Linked DNA regions of Yarrowia lipolytica. The protein of the gene in region 1 interacts with the protein of each later gene in a pairwise test. Links are inferred from orthologs where the notes say so. Each region holds a gene or a part of one and is shown in the gene's direction. Other genes may lie near its edges.

Region 1 (7,234 bases):
CCACAGGACGTTACATGTACTACAGTGACTCTCCCCGGAAGGCGTAATTGACCCAACAACCAAGACGAGACCCCATGGACTACAATCCACAATCATACTCGCAAGGAGAGTCCAACTTGCATCTAGAATATAGCTAATTGATACCATTTAATATTGTCATAATTGCAGTAGGGAACTATCTAAGACTCTCTAAGACCATGTCCAAGCAAGCATAATAGAGTCATTTGATGATGTTGCTAACTCCTGGACTCGACTCCCGAAACATCCATGAACAAAGCCACCATCTCGTCTCGATCCAGATCGTCTAGCAGCTTGGAATGTGAAATGTCTGGCATCATTTGTTTGATTCTAGCAGCGGAGTAGCTTCTCAGGTCGTCGTTGCAGGCTTCAAACGACTTCTTCCACAACATGATGGCTTGTTGAACGTCCAGAGCCTCCGCTTTGATTTTGGCCACCGCGAGACTGAGTAGCTCGGGCAAGTCGTACATTTGAGCCATGACGAGAAGATTAGCTGCATCGCCGAAACCGAATTCCAGAGGCTGCCCGTAGAGATATCGCACGGCGACCTCGATGGTCGATGCTGGAAAGGGCAGATCCAGGGAGTTCTCCGTCGCCTCCATCATGTTCGAGTCTATGGTGGCCGAGAAGAACGGCCACAGCGGTTGCAGCACCGTTTTATGGACCTCTATTTTCTGTCCATCCTCACTAGTCAAATGAAAGTCTCCAGGAGTTCCGTCTCTGATTTTGGCCAATCCAGTCTTGTGCACGCTGGTGAGATGTATCTCGTCGGGGTTGTTATCCTTGATGAAAGATGCCAACTTTGGAATATCTTCGTTTTCAAGGGTCTGGAAAACCACCACCGTCCAGCTGTTGTCCAAGAGACAGACTCCTTGCCATAGACGAGACCTCAGAAAGAAAACGTGAGGGTTGACGGCCATGGACAAGACCTTGGGCGGCGAGCTGGCGGAAATGGGCGGTTCTGCGTGGAAACACTTGTCCAAACTGGTATGAAGTAGCCCCAGCTTATTGTCGTAGAACTTCAGATACACCGCTCTGGAGGCGTTTCCGTCGGCCTTGAGGGCGTGCGCAAAGTAGAAGCTTCCCATCTCTTGTAGGGTGCAAGAGGAGTAGAGGAAGGCGGTTTCTCTGACCAGCTGCTCCTCAGAGCACGCCTTGGGAAGCCCAAAAGTGTATGGCTTGTTTGGTGCTGCCATGGCGGTTAGATTACTAAGCGAAAGTGAGTGTGGCTGTCACTACGAGCACTGTATGGACTGTGACAGTGTCTGGTGGAATGACGATGAAGATGCAGGTCGTATTGATATCGTGCAGTGGTCAGCCTTATCGCAGCCTCGCAACAAGTTTAATTTCGAGTTTAATAATGGTGATGTTATCGGGAAGTGTCAATGTCGGAAACGTCATTGTCGGAAACGTGATTGTCGGTGTCATTGTCGGAAACGTCATTGTCGGTGCCATTGTCGATATGTTCATTTATTTACCAAAAATATGCGAAATTTCTCCTGGACTTGTTGGATACTTGTGTATCGTAGGGTCGCACTCAGATATGAGACACGGCTGAGTATTCTTTAATTCGAGTCTGTAGTTGAAGAGTCTCAGTTCGTTCTCGTCTCAGCTCGTTTCTCGTCTCAGTTCGTTTCTCTTCTGCTGAACTCGTACCGTACCACGAGCATTCCGCTCTGGATAGAACCTCCTCAACTAGCTATCATGGCTAATGGCTACAATACATACTCTCTAGAAGTCTCTGCGACATGTCCCTGCCATGTCTCTTGTGTCGCTTCGATCGCCATGGACGACTCCATGGACGTGTTCGGGAAATGGCGGCTGGCTTGCTCAAGATGCTGTTCAGTGGCTGGATCTGTTGCGTCCGAAAAGTCCAACAGCTGGTGACACTGGCTCAATGAAGTGCGATCTCGGCCCGCAGTTTCAGACTCTCGCCCATCAGATGCTGTTTGACAACGGAAGATGCTGTTTGACAACGGAATGAGTGATGCAGGAGGTGACCCGAGCTCCCTCAGTTGGAGGTTCCTCCAGAGGACTCTCGTTTGAGGGAGCCCTCCGGAGGAACCTCGAGCTCGTGCACCAAAAGTACGCGAAACTGGAGATCGGTGGGAAGGGTACAGTACCGTAAAAGTAGTACATACTGTATCAATGTATTCAGGTACAGTACAGTGGGTACTTGAAGCCAGTCTCAGGAGAGTTCCAATACTGCTTCGCTCGACCTCGAACTGTTATTGAGATACCAGCGAGTCCAATCAGTCAAGCGAGTCAAATGATCCAACGAGCCCTCCAGTCCAATCAGTCCGATCGGTTTGCTCCGCATTCCACGGTTCTAATTACTTTGCTCAATTGCAGACTCAGATGTCTGCCTTCTGCAGACTCAGACATCTGCCTTGAGATAGACAAGTATTCTTTACCGTACCGGCCACCGTCTCAATTATTGAGACTGCCCGATAATTGTATTTCGGGCTATCGCCAACTCTGTTGCGCAATACTGCTTGCTCGATCTCTTGTGTATGTCTACGTCTAGTGTCGATCATGACGTAATGCTGCGTCTGGGCCGTGGGCGTCAGAAAAGTGTGGAATCCGAACACTAGAGCGAAGCAAGCGATCCATTGAGTTTGACATCGGACACAAGAGTTGATTTGCAATTCAATTCCATTTTGAATGTACAAATAGTAAGAGAAGTTGATGCCTTGTGAGGGTATTTATACTTGTATTACGATTGATACGATTGGTCCTATTGGTACCATAGTGGATGGATTAAAAAGAGCCCCAAGCTGAGCTGTCTTCTAACAATCGAGGAGAATCCATTGGTGTAGTTTTCATGTTTGTATCTTGCTTGTGTAATGTCCTAGGTCCAGCCCTCTCCATGTTTTGGTGATTTATGTATCATAATACGTCCGACGGAGACGTCTAGAGTATGGCAGAGTATGACAGAGTATGGAAGGTGATGGTGGAGTTGAGAAAAGGTTGAAACAATAGTTGGTCGCAACTTCAGAACATTAGTCAGCAGTATAGCACACCATGTGACGGCTCAGCCTCTGTCGATCGAAGCAATCACACTTTATCCACGCAAAGAAGAACCGTATTGGAGCCGGGAGTTTTGGGAGGGCTGGATGGGATGGAGGCGGGAGGCGGGAGACGTTGAAACGAATGAGAGCTGAGACAGGGGGGTATTTTGAAGAGGTTGTTCAGTCTGGGGCGTGGGTAAAAAAGGTAGCTATATTGAGGCGGTTCTGGATGGATTAACCGGGAGAAAAGGGTATCTACGGGTAGTTTCAGGGTGGGCAGATAGATTTTTGAACTCCCCAGTCACCATTTTCTCACAAAATCTGTTGTTTTGAGCTCTTTCAGGGACTGAGGTGCACTTTGTGGTGTTCAAATACGCATCACTATGTACAATGCACTTGGTCACATCTGGAAACCATCATCCGCCTATTTGTCTCATAGTTTCGCGGAGCCAGAAACGGCTCCGTTAGACCCACAGTCTGGACTATAACTGTTCCACAATACGTGACCCAGCACGTATGGTTGAGGGGTTTACGATAGTACAACGGTAGAAAATAAACACAAACCTAGGCGACCGTTGGCCAGCTTGGTGAGGCTGAAAGCAAATGAATTGAGTTGGGGGCGGGCAGTCTACAAGTAGGGAGAAGAAGGGAATGACGGTCTTCTTCGCGGTTCACTACGTTCTGTTCAGGGGAGTACCGAGTTCCGATTGAGAGTGTGCCGAGGGCCATTCTTTTATGACTGTATTACGGCGGATCGAACTTGGGTCGAACGTCGGAACAATCCGAAGCTGTACCGACTTTTTGCTCGTGACTATTGTCTCCTCCGGCCAGTCTCAGATTCATCACTTGACTCACTCCGCCAGTCACATTCCGCCCGATAACCTCTACGGGTGCATCTAGTCTGCACCGAATGACTATTATCAGTGTGGGCCGAGGTTGGGAGCAACAGAGATAAGAGGCGGCCATTTTGCGGCTACCCGGCCGATTTTCGGCGGGAAAATTCGAAAATCGCAAACTTGATCCCAGGTGAGTTCTTTCCGAGGTCCAAAATCGCCACAATATACCCCACCGCGCCGCCTGGGACGCCGTCTCGATAAACCCGGGTAAGAGGATGCAGAGTACTGGCAAACTCTTTTTTATATTGCCTTTTTTTTTTTTTTTCGCCCACTATTAAAGTTGTCTCAAAATCTCTTCACTTTAAGCTTCGGCACTTTTCTCCCAGTATATAGAGCGGAGCTGCCCCGGCCTACAAACGGTCACCACCACCGTCACAGCAAAAGACACTCTAGAAAGCTCATAAAATGAAATTCTTCGACTCACGACACTACTTCAACTACTCGTGGGAACAGGTGTCCATCGCCAACTGGAAAAAGTACCCCAACGAGGTGTCCACCCATGTGATTGCGGTGGATGTTCTGCGTCGAGAAGTGGACCCCAAGTCCGGCGTGCTTCGAACCGAGCGACTCATCACCTGCAAACAGTCCATCCCCAAGTGGCTTCTTGCGCTGGTAGGAGGCCAGGAGGTGTCGTACGTCCGAGAGGTCTCCGAGGTCGACCCCAAGGCACGAACCGTTGTCATGCGATCCACCAACATGACCATGAATAACCTGCTGCTGGTGTTCGAGACCTGCACCTACTCGCCCGACCCCGAGAACCCCGCCACAAAGACCGTGTTTGACCAGGAGGCCCAGATTACCGCCTTTGCCTCCTGGAAGCGAATCTGCAACAAGATTGAGGACTGGACCGTGGAGCGATTTGGCCAGAACGCCATCAAGGGCAAGGCCGGCTTCGAGGGCGTCCTGCAGAAGGTGGCCAACTCGGACGTGTTCGCCCGAGAGTCCGTCTCCCTGTCTTAAGTGTCTGTGATCTCCTCCGTCGTCTCTTTTTTTGCATATCCTCTCTGACGAGACAGCACCAGCAACCACCACTCAAGAACACAACAGCATAGCACCCCAAAAAAGCATTCCCGAACCGCTCCAATTGCGCAAGCTCGGCCTTTCTATAGATGCATGTACATACTAACGATTTTAACAATATTTGACGATTGTAGCTCTTGTTGTGTGGTAATTTTGACGCGTCCTAAATTGCCGTTTCTCGGTGGCTGATGCTCTTTTTTCTTTTCTTGTATATATTTTCCCCATTTTTCCATTTTTCCATTTTTCCATATATATTTTTTGCCAATTTAAACTTTACTGTTCACACGACCCGAGTCTCACTGCCCACGCGACCCTTCATCTAACTCGGCCAATTGAAGTCGGATCGCGAAAAAAAATACATAGCTCAATTACCACACTCTCCCTGATCACAACCGTATCTTTAACTTGCCCATTGTCCCCGTTTTGGTGTACAAAACCCCTACCCCTCCCCCGCACCGGAACGTTTCGGGCACTAAATTTGGAGCCGGCTCATGCCGCACTGGAATCTCCGGAAAAAGTCCGGAAAAAGTGCTCGTGGCGAAAATTGCCCCAAAACGCGAGTTTTTTTTTATTTATTTTTTATTTTTTGGTGCGCAAAAGCCCCAGCCGCAAACCGCCACTGGGACCACATCCGACCGCGATACCAGATCGGAATCGGCTTCGCATTTGTCATGTCTGGTATCGGCACGTGCATAAGCAGCCCGAGTGTCGGAGATGTGATTTTTCGGGTTAGGGAAGACACGAGTAAGAAATATGGAGAAGGAAGTGGTTTTTTCACGTGTATATTATGGTAAAGGGACTTTAAAAAATGAAATTTGACCAAGAAAAACTGCGATAATGAGCTGCTTCTTTTTTTCCAGCAAGTTGTATGAGAAACCTTAGTTTGAACAGTGGATGAATCTTCTCGACTTTGAGTACCGCCGCTATAGTTGTATTTTGTGAGGGAAAACAGGGAAATAGGGTAGTTTAGACGATAAATACACATGTGAATGGTTTGTGTCTTCTTCTATTCGATTTTCGAGTTTTAGATGTTTTTGCAAATCTGAAGTTAGAGGGGGCATTTTCTCCAAGTACAGTTTTTTTTTCCATATACTTTTTTTTTTTTTTTTTCTGCATATACATTCATTTAATTATAACTTTGCCGTGAAAGAATAACCTTTGAAATGAATGTACGCTTACACGAATATTACTAATTAAACACGTTTAGTGTCATGGTCCAACTTGGCACGTACCTATTTCCAGTAAAAAAATCATAAAAAAACCTGGTTCAGTCCGTGTTGTATGTTGGTCCACATAGCTTCGCGTGTTTGTTCGTTCATCGGGAAAACGCCACTCCAGTCTCCAGTTCTCTAATCTCAATCCTTCCATTGCCCTCTTCATTTGCATTGCCTTTGAAAACTTCTCCTTGTGGTTCTTCTTCGTCATTGGTTTGGTTCTGCGTCCCCTGTGGTGACTACGCGCCCTGCTACGCTGTTCTCTCGGTGGCCTCGGCCGCCTTTTACGCTTGCTACTGTGTCTACTCTCGCTCATCGTGAAGTGCTGGCGGTTGTCCATCGTAGAAACACATCTGGGCTTCCTTCAGGAATTGAAGCAAACCCTGTTGGACATGTCCCAGGGTGGCGTCGTCCCCTGAGTACCGGAGGGATCTCTCCATCTTCCAGATCCCATAAGCCAATTCCCGCAGATATTTGCGTGTCTTGACTTGTTGATGTTTCCGGGGGGCGTCACTGTTCACATGCCCTGGGAAAGAGGGGAGTACTCCACATTTCGACTCGGTAAAGATCCAGTCCTTTAGAGAGTCCACTGACGGAATCTTCATCCTGGTCAACATGGAAAGAAGAACTTCGCACTTGCAGAAGATATGCTCGTGCAGATCCTGAATGATGGCCTTATCACAGAGCCCGCATCCTGGATTCTTCTTGGTGAAAACGTGGTCGTCAGGGTATCTCCATTTCACGAGCGGAAGTCGAGATATCCGCATGAGGTGAAGAACTTGTGCTTTGTTGGCGTCGGCGATGTAGTGTTTTCGAAGGTCATGCATTACCTCCTGCCAGACCATGTCGTCAGAGATGCCCCCGTAGTCGCTTCGTTGAGTCCACTTCTTCGGTCGTGCAAGTGTGTGTGGGAAGTTTGGCAAGTCGGGAGACGAGGTCTTGTGAAACATGAAGTTCTCTAGAGTAAGTGGTCCCATGCTCCACCGGAGGTGGTCGATTTCCGCTGTGGACACCATTCTGACCGGATGGTATCGTCTCGCGGCTGCGATGTCGACGTGTGCTTCCCGGAAAGATT
Region 2 (7,067 bases), on another chromosome or scaffold:
ACGTGACTCAGCAGCTCGGAGACGACGTTATTTCTTCTCTGTTGGAAGAGAAGCCCAGCATCATTGTCGGAACACCCTCGAGGCTGCTAAAATACGCCAAGGAGATGGACTGCTCCAAGGTCGGTTATCTGGTCATCGACGAGGCAGATCTGCTGCTATCCTACGGCTACAAGGAGGATCTTATCGAGCTGTCGGAGATGCTCCCCAAGACTAAGCATACCTTCATCATGTCTGCAACACTCAACAAGGAGTCCGATCTGATGAAGCAGCAGTTCTGCAGAAGCACTGTGGCTAGTGTTGCAGTCACCGCTGCTGAGGAGGAGAGAAAACTGCTGCAGTACTACGTCAAGTGCAGCGAGAGAGATAAGTTTCTGCTGGCCTACGTCATGTTTAAGCTGCAGCTGGTCAAGGGCAAGACCATTGTCTTTGTCAACGAGATTGATCGATGCTACCGATTGCGTCTGTTCCTGGAGCAGTTTGGAATCAAGGCCTGTGTTCTCAACTCCGAGCTGCCCATCGCCTCTCGTCTTCATATTGTGGAGCAGTTCAACAAGGGTGTTTTCAACTTGCTGATCTGTACCGACGAGGCCAACAAGCTGGCTGAGGCTAGTAAATCTGCATCCAAGCAGACCAAGGAGGTGTCCAGAGCCCATGAGTACTCTTCAACTCGAGGTCTTGATTTCATGAACGTGGCTTTTGTGCTCAACTTTGATCTGCCTCTTTCTAGCCGAGCATATGTCCACCGAGTGGGCCGAACTGCTAGAGCCAACAAGGCCGGTACCGCACTGTCTTTTGTTGTGCCTGCCGACCAATGGGGCAAGGATAAGGTGGCCAAGCTGGATACTGCTAAGCGAGATGAGAAGGTGCTCAAGAAGATCATCAAGAACCAGGAGTCACAGAACATGGAAATCAAGCCCTATTCGTTCGACATGAAGCAGGTGGAGGGCTTCCGATACCGAATGGACGACGCTTTCCGAGCCGTCACAACCGTGGGTGTTCGAGAGGCCCGAGTCAAGGAGATCAAGACCGAGTTGCTCAACTCCGAGCGCCTGGCTCGACATTTCGACGAAAACCCCGACGATCTGAAGGCTCTTCGACACGACAAGGAGCTCCACACATCCAAGGTCCAAGCACACATGAAGCGGGTGCCCGACTACTTGTTGGGACGAAAGGGTAAGCTGGATCCTAATGTGTTTGTGCCATTCAGAAAGGATGATAACAAAATCCACAAGAAGTATACCAAGAAGAAGAAGGGCGGCGATCCCCTCAAGTTCAAGAAGCGAAAATAGATGATATAGAATGGAAATGACAGATTACATGGTATTGAAATAGCGGGTGTCTGCTACAAGTAAGCGGTGTGTTTTCAAGACTACAGTACACATACTGTACATAGATATATGCTGGTGTTGGTTCTGTAAGTGAGTTGTGTTATAGTCACTTGTACCAGTAGTAAAAACTTGTGGTACAGTATGTATGTATATACAGTATATTCTAAGCTATTCTATATTTGTATTGGTACGCTACTGTACATGGGTAGGTCCGGTCCAATTCTTCGTATCCTCAATTAATATCCGTTATTAAATTATGTTGTGCTTTATTCCTACTTGGAAACACTTCTAACCCAGTATTCACTGGCACCCTCCTCTCTCATCTTAATATACTGACGAGACAACAGCAGGCCGACTTGGTACAGTTCTCGTTCCACGGCCTGCTTCTTGGTTTCCAGGTCAGCCAGATTCTGGGTCAGATTCGTCGACCTGCCTCCAGTGTTGGCAGAGAAGTTTTTGTATGTCGTGGTCGGCCCCATCTTCTTGATGAGATCAATCTCCACTGTGATTGCACGTGACAACTCAAACAGCTTGTCCGACTGCTGTTGCAGCTGGGCCACTCGGTCTGCCCGTGATGCGTGCGACTCCCTTGAGCTAATCGATGCACTGTCCGAGGCGGCTCGTGGCTTCTCAGCTGCAATGCCTCCATGTCCTTCCTTCTTGCTCTTGACCGTCTGTCTTACCAAAGCGTCAAACTGTCGCTCGATCTCCACCTCCTTCATCTTGATACGAGCATATACTCCGGAGGGCCCCGAGTTGTTGTTGGGTTTCACCTTTGCCCGTGGGTCGTGCGTCTGTGGTCGAGGAGCCACCGTGGGCTGTTGTGGCCGGTGACCGAGACCATGTCCTATGCCTGCATTCTTGTGGAAAATGCCCCGGGTGCCTGTACTAGGTGGAGCCAGTCTAGCTACTGTGGCAACGCACACCTCGGCTGAGGTGTCTGGCGAGTCTAGAGACACATCTCCGTCTTCCTCGGCGTCCTCGAAGCGGTCCAGGTCTGAGTCTCGAAGTGTAGATGTGGAGGAGGAGTTCTGTAAACTCTTGTTATGCTGTGTAGTTGGTGCAGCCCGTTGTTGGGCATGTGTTGTTGTCGTGGTCTGATGATGTGTGTTGAAAGGGACAGGGCTTCCAGAAGGCTGTCTGGGCTGGTTCAGCTTCTTCTCTGGAGTCGACGTGCCCCCGGCGGCATGCAAAACGTCTTCGGGGATGCAATAGCTCTCGCTGGCGACGGTGTTGAGCGTGGAGGACGAGTAGTTTGGCACCGCTCTCATGAAAGCTCTTCGGCGCTGTTCCGACATGACAAAGGACTCATCACGGGTCATTTCGTAGTGCGACGTGTCGTCGGCGCCAATAACGAGGGCGGCTCCCACGGTTTGGGCCATTGGTCGTGATGGCATCTTGGTTGGGGTTTACGTCTCGTCTCTTCAATCTGCTTGTGATGATTGACACTCTCACTGTTTTGGATTCAGAGCGCGAAACGCGCCTTTAGGTTTCAAATGCGATGAACAGAGTTGGTTCCCCTACCTTGAATCGCTGGGTGTTAAAACCAAGTCGTATAAACCACCCTGGCAGGTGTTGAGAGAAGAATAGGTGAGACTCGTATGTAGTATGGGAGAGAGAGCTCAAGAGGCATTATATCATATAGCAGGTCTGGCACTTGACCTGCAGCATCGCATCCTGCAGGAATCCATCACCTGGGTCTTAGATTATTATTCTCCTTCCCATGCAATGTTGTGGTTGTATTTTGAAATGTTATTCTGAGACTTCTGTCATACCCTTTTGAGAAGTCGGGGTTGGGGTAGCCCAGAACTTGCCCAGAACCTGAATAGCCATTTGGGTCACGCGCCAAGTGCAGCAGTCATGCACTAACGTTTAGTTCCTAAAATTTCAAGTGCGTTTTTCAGGCGCAAAAAATAAACTGACCAAGCTCTATAATGCAGCGACTATTGAAAAAGGCACTGAAAAACAGCGCAGCGGGCGAGGCTGGAGCACCACTGGAGCGCACCGACACCCGCTCCTCGCACGAAACGCTCTTTGACGACAACAAGTCCGCGGTCTCCACGCTGTTTGAAACCCCTGAAGGCGACCCGCGAGAACGGGATGTCTACAGCATATACTCGGCCATGTTTCGACATGGAGTGACCGTTTTTGACGATGGCCTCAAAAAACCCATTCTGTCTGTGTCCACGCATTTCTTCGGCAAGACCTACATGGAGATTTACCGGCTGGACGATAAGCAGAGCCCAGGTAGCGAGGCTGTGTCAATGTCTGGAACCGAGTGCTACAAGTCGCTTCTGTGCAGTGTGACACAAAAGGTACTTGACAACGACCGTATCGAGTACATTCTCACCTTTGTGGACAGCGAGCGGGACAACATCACCATGGTTACCCATGGAACCAGGCGGGTGACTACAGCTTCTTACGAAGGCGTGCAGTTGCAATGGTACGGAACGACGGGCATTGCCAACACTTATGGCTCTGGATTCTTTCATCTGCGGCTTGTTGACACCGAACATACTGAGAGACAGGGTAATGTGCTGCCAGACTCAGACACCCTCTGTGGTCCTTGCATAGGAGCCTACAGTTATCTGACTGAGGGCAGACTGAAGAAGCAGCGCCGGGTTGGCGAGTTTAGCATTTTCAATGGTGGCACTCATCTTTCCGAGGTCATCCTACTCATGGGACTGGTTCTGCGAGAGGGAGAGATGCGAAAGATAACGGAAAGTACACGAGCTGCCAATGCTGTCACCAGCAAGGTGTTTTTGTAAACTGAGTGATGAAAACGGCATGGTTGAAACAATAGTTTGGTAGCTACCGTGATGAGCTCCGTCTCTTGCGACAACCAGGATAGCAGCTTGGGCGGGAAAAAGAAGAAGAATGTGGATTGTGGTGGCTTTGAGTGCCTTCCGCCGATAATGTGAAACGAATTTTTATTATTAATGAGTAAGACAGACAGACTAATATATCTGAATACTATGGTTGGTTGCCTAGGGTTGTGTGGATGGTCGTTCCCGTTCAGCTCATGGCCGAATCAGGTATACTCGCTTACATAATCATTTTGGGTTGCATACAGGCATCTCGGTGAAGCATGATTTTCGACTTTACACTCGACCGTCACAATGAACTCCTTTGCCCCGGAATGCACTAAAGCCAAGAAGGAGTACGACAACTGCTTCAACAACTGGTACTCGGAGAAGTTCCTCAAGGGAGAGTCCATGGAGAACGAGTGTGCCGATCTGTGGCACGAGTACGAGGATTGCGTCAAGGTGAGTAGGGAGAGGGAGAGGGCAGCCTGGAGATGAATTAGGATCGATTCAGGAGATCGGTACCCGGCGTACCACTCACAGTATTTACTAACCCAGGCCGCTCTTGCCAAGAAGGGTGTTGGAAAGATGATTGACGAGGCTCGAAAGCAGGCTCCGTTTGAGAACGGCGGCAAGCTCGTGGAGGAGGATGAAAAGAAGAAGTAAATGTATATATTAATTGAACGATTCTGCTGGCCAAGATGTGAAAAAACGAGTTTCTCACTTGTATCAAGTCTGTGTTAGTCAGGCTTTTCTCTGTAAGTGTGCAAGGGTGTCTGTGAGTTACGGGTGAATTTTTTTAAAATCTAGTAAAAGGATGAAGTTCGACAGATTTTATAGGGAAATCTAAACACTTTCTAACGATTTATAAAAAGTCCTCTCGCCGCAAGAAGTCATCGGCCACCTTCCAGTACCCCAAACACACCTGTGTAAGTCACTGCAAGAAAACCTCGCCACGTGACAAACAAGGTTTTGCAAAATCGTCGGTTGGAATATCAGACTCTATCACCACACATACACGACCATACAAAAATGCTGTCTCTGATTCAGTCGCTACGGCCGACTGTGGCCATGAACAACGTGGCGCAGATGTTTGTGCGAAACACTTGCAAGTCCGCCCATGTCAAGACCAAAAAGGCCGTTGCCAACCGAATCAAGATCTGTGGTAGTGGAAAGATCACCAGAGTGAGTGCCACAAGGATGGAGAGGAGGGGAAATAAGGAAAAAGGAATGCTGGGAGCGACTCCGATCAAGCCATGATAGAGTGGATAGCTGATATTTCAGTGCCGGAAAAGTTTTGCCTCTGATCTGATCATGGCCTTATGTTACACAGCTTTCAAGCTGAGATGATTAACTGTTTCAGCAGCTAGAAGAGATACCAGACACGGAACTACCTGTCACAACCAGGCTGATTACGCACACTGCGTTTTTTTTGTTTTTTTTGTTGCTTACCAGGCACTCAGATCAAGCAAGACACTCATAACCTCTTGTAGCTGAACACATCAACAATGACAACTTCCAGATCGCCACTAACTCAGGGAAAAACCGGACGAAAGCACGGAAACACTGGATGGTCCGCTGCTCTGCTGCGAAAGAAGACCGGTATGACCGAGCTCACCGGTTTCCAGAAGAAGCATGTCAAGAAGTACGTGCCTTTCAAACAATCCCCTTAATGTATATAGCAATTAGAACCCTCTTGGATGCACGAGAAGTCTGTACAGTACAGACGGATACAAGTTCGTAGTGCACGTACCGAGCTGTTTAAATTAATTGATGTATTTTTCTGTATAAGATGTAATCATTGCATACTCTGCAAATAATAAATAGGGCGCGCGGGGTTTAGATCACGGTTTTGATGGGACAGCTAGGCCGTGGGTAGGTACAGCACTTGTACTCAGGCCGTGGTGGAGACGCGGTACTGCGAAAGTACCAGCGATATGAATGTCGTAAGTATCATACTACAATTGTAGCAGAGGGGGGTTACTGGCCAAGCAACAACCAACCAATAAAATAGACACCATAACCCATCATTTCAACAGCATCCACAGGGTTAAGGCTGGACAGACCAGAGTCCCACTCAATGGCAGACTCACGAGGAGCATACTCTTGTCGATCTGAAGAGGGCTCGTTGGCCAAAAGACCGACATTTTTTTCAGGCACAAAAGGCTTGAGCTCCTCGCCAGTCAACCAATAATGGAGTCGATCTCCAAATGCTGAGGCGTTGGACTCGCGGTTGCACTGTTCAATCACGCTTGTCACTAATTGTTGTTTGTCGGCGTCACAGATATCGAGCATTTGTGTTTCTTGAGAGTGTTTTCTGATTACAGCGGACCCAGGGGCGCTTTTTTGATTATATATAGCCTTACAGCCTTTCAGAGACTTTCGTCGCCATGCAACAAAGACAGGACCAGTAAGGTTGTTGAGTGCACGTGACCTCGGGTCCACGAACGTCATGGGGCAAAACAAGACTATTGCAACATAATTATAAGGGGTAGATGCAGCTTGCGAGTTCCCCTCCTGCTTGCTACGTGCCAGTGCAACCTCTGGCGTGTTATTCTTCCACATTTGCTCTTTGTGGCGACCAGTAGCGTGTAATAAACATTCTGGGGTAACTGTAAGCGCTGATATGGAAATGTACGATACGATAGGGTATGTAGGGTCCATGTAGGGTCTTACAGATAGCTTCAACAAGTACTCGTACCAGGCGCGATACTGCAATAACAGTGGATATTTCTCAACAAATCTACTGTAGGTGACACACACACTCACGTCTGCGTCTCCACATGACAAGCATCACTGTTAATCTATGTTCCACTTGATTATGGCTTTTGCCACCAGGTCTTGTTGGGTCATGTCTTGTGTACTTTTAGCTCTCCATATAATAAATATATTGGGGTAATCCTCAAGGTGGAGAATGTGGGGTGCCTGAATACAT

What was found.
Region 2: the proteins of YALI1_D23785g (region 1) and YALI1_F39176g interact in binary tests that used the Saccharomyces cerevisiae proteins (3 or more experiments, as listed by UniProt). The link is inferred for Yarrowia lipolytica from reciprocal best matches to the Saccharomyces cerevisiae genes UPS2 and MDM35.

Annotation. Positions count from the first base shown.
Region 1 is NC_090773.1:2,374,129-2,381,362, forward strand, and holds YALI1_D23785g (uncharacterized protein), read left to right. Parts: upstream 1-4,330; coding exon 4,331-4,885; downstream 4,886-7,234. Other genes in the region: YALI1_D23730g (uncharacterized protein), read left to right, coding at 1-47; YALI1_D23753g (uncharacterized protein), read right to left, coding at 237-1,214; YALI1_D23845t (uncharacterized protein), read right to left, coding at 6,462-7,234. UniProt on the Saccharomyces cerevisiae protein: Required for mitochondrial cristae morphogenesis and MGM1-processing. Controls the stability of mitochondrial phosphatidylethanolamine (PE). With UPS1, controls the level of cardiolipin in mitochondria.
Region 2 is NC_090775.1:3,913,187-3,920,253, forward strand, and holds YALI1_F39176g (uncharacterized protein), read left to right. Parts: upstream 1-4,447; coding exon 4,448-4,594; intron 4,595-4,690; coding exon 4,691-4,798; downstream 4,799-7,067. Other genes in the region: YALI1_F39128g (uncharacterized protein), read left to right, coding at 1-1,289; YALI1_F39159g (uncharacterized protein), read right to left, coding at 1,601-2,725; YALI1_F39164g (uncharacterized protein), read left to right, coding at 3,263-4,096; YALI1_F39183g (uncharacterized protein), read left to right, coding at 5,165-5,317, 5,671-5,805; YALI1_F39199g (uncharacterized protein), read right to left, coding at 6,113-6,796. UniProt on the Saccharomyces cerevisiae protein: Involved in mitochondrial distribution and morphology. Mediates the import of UPS1, UPS2 and UPS3, 3 atypical mitochondrial intermembrane space (IMS) proteins lacking the two major IMS-targeting signals, into the intermembrane space.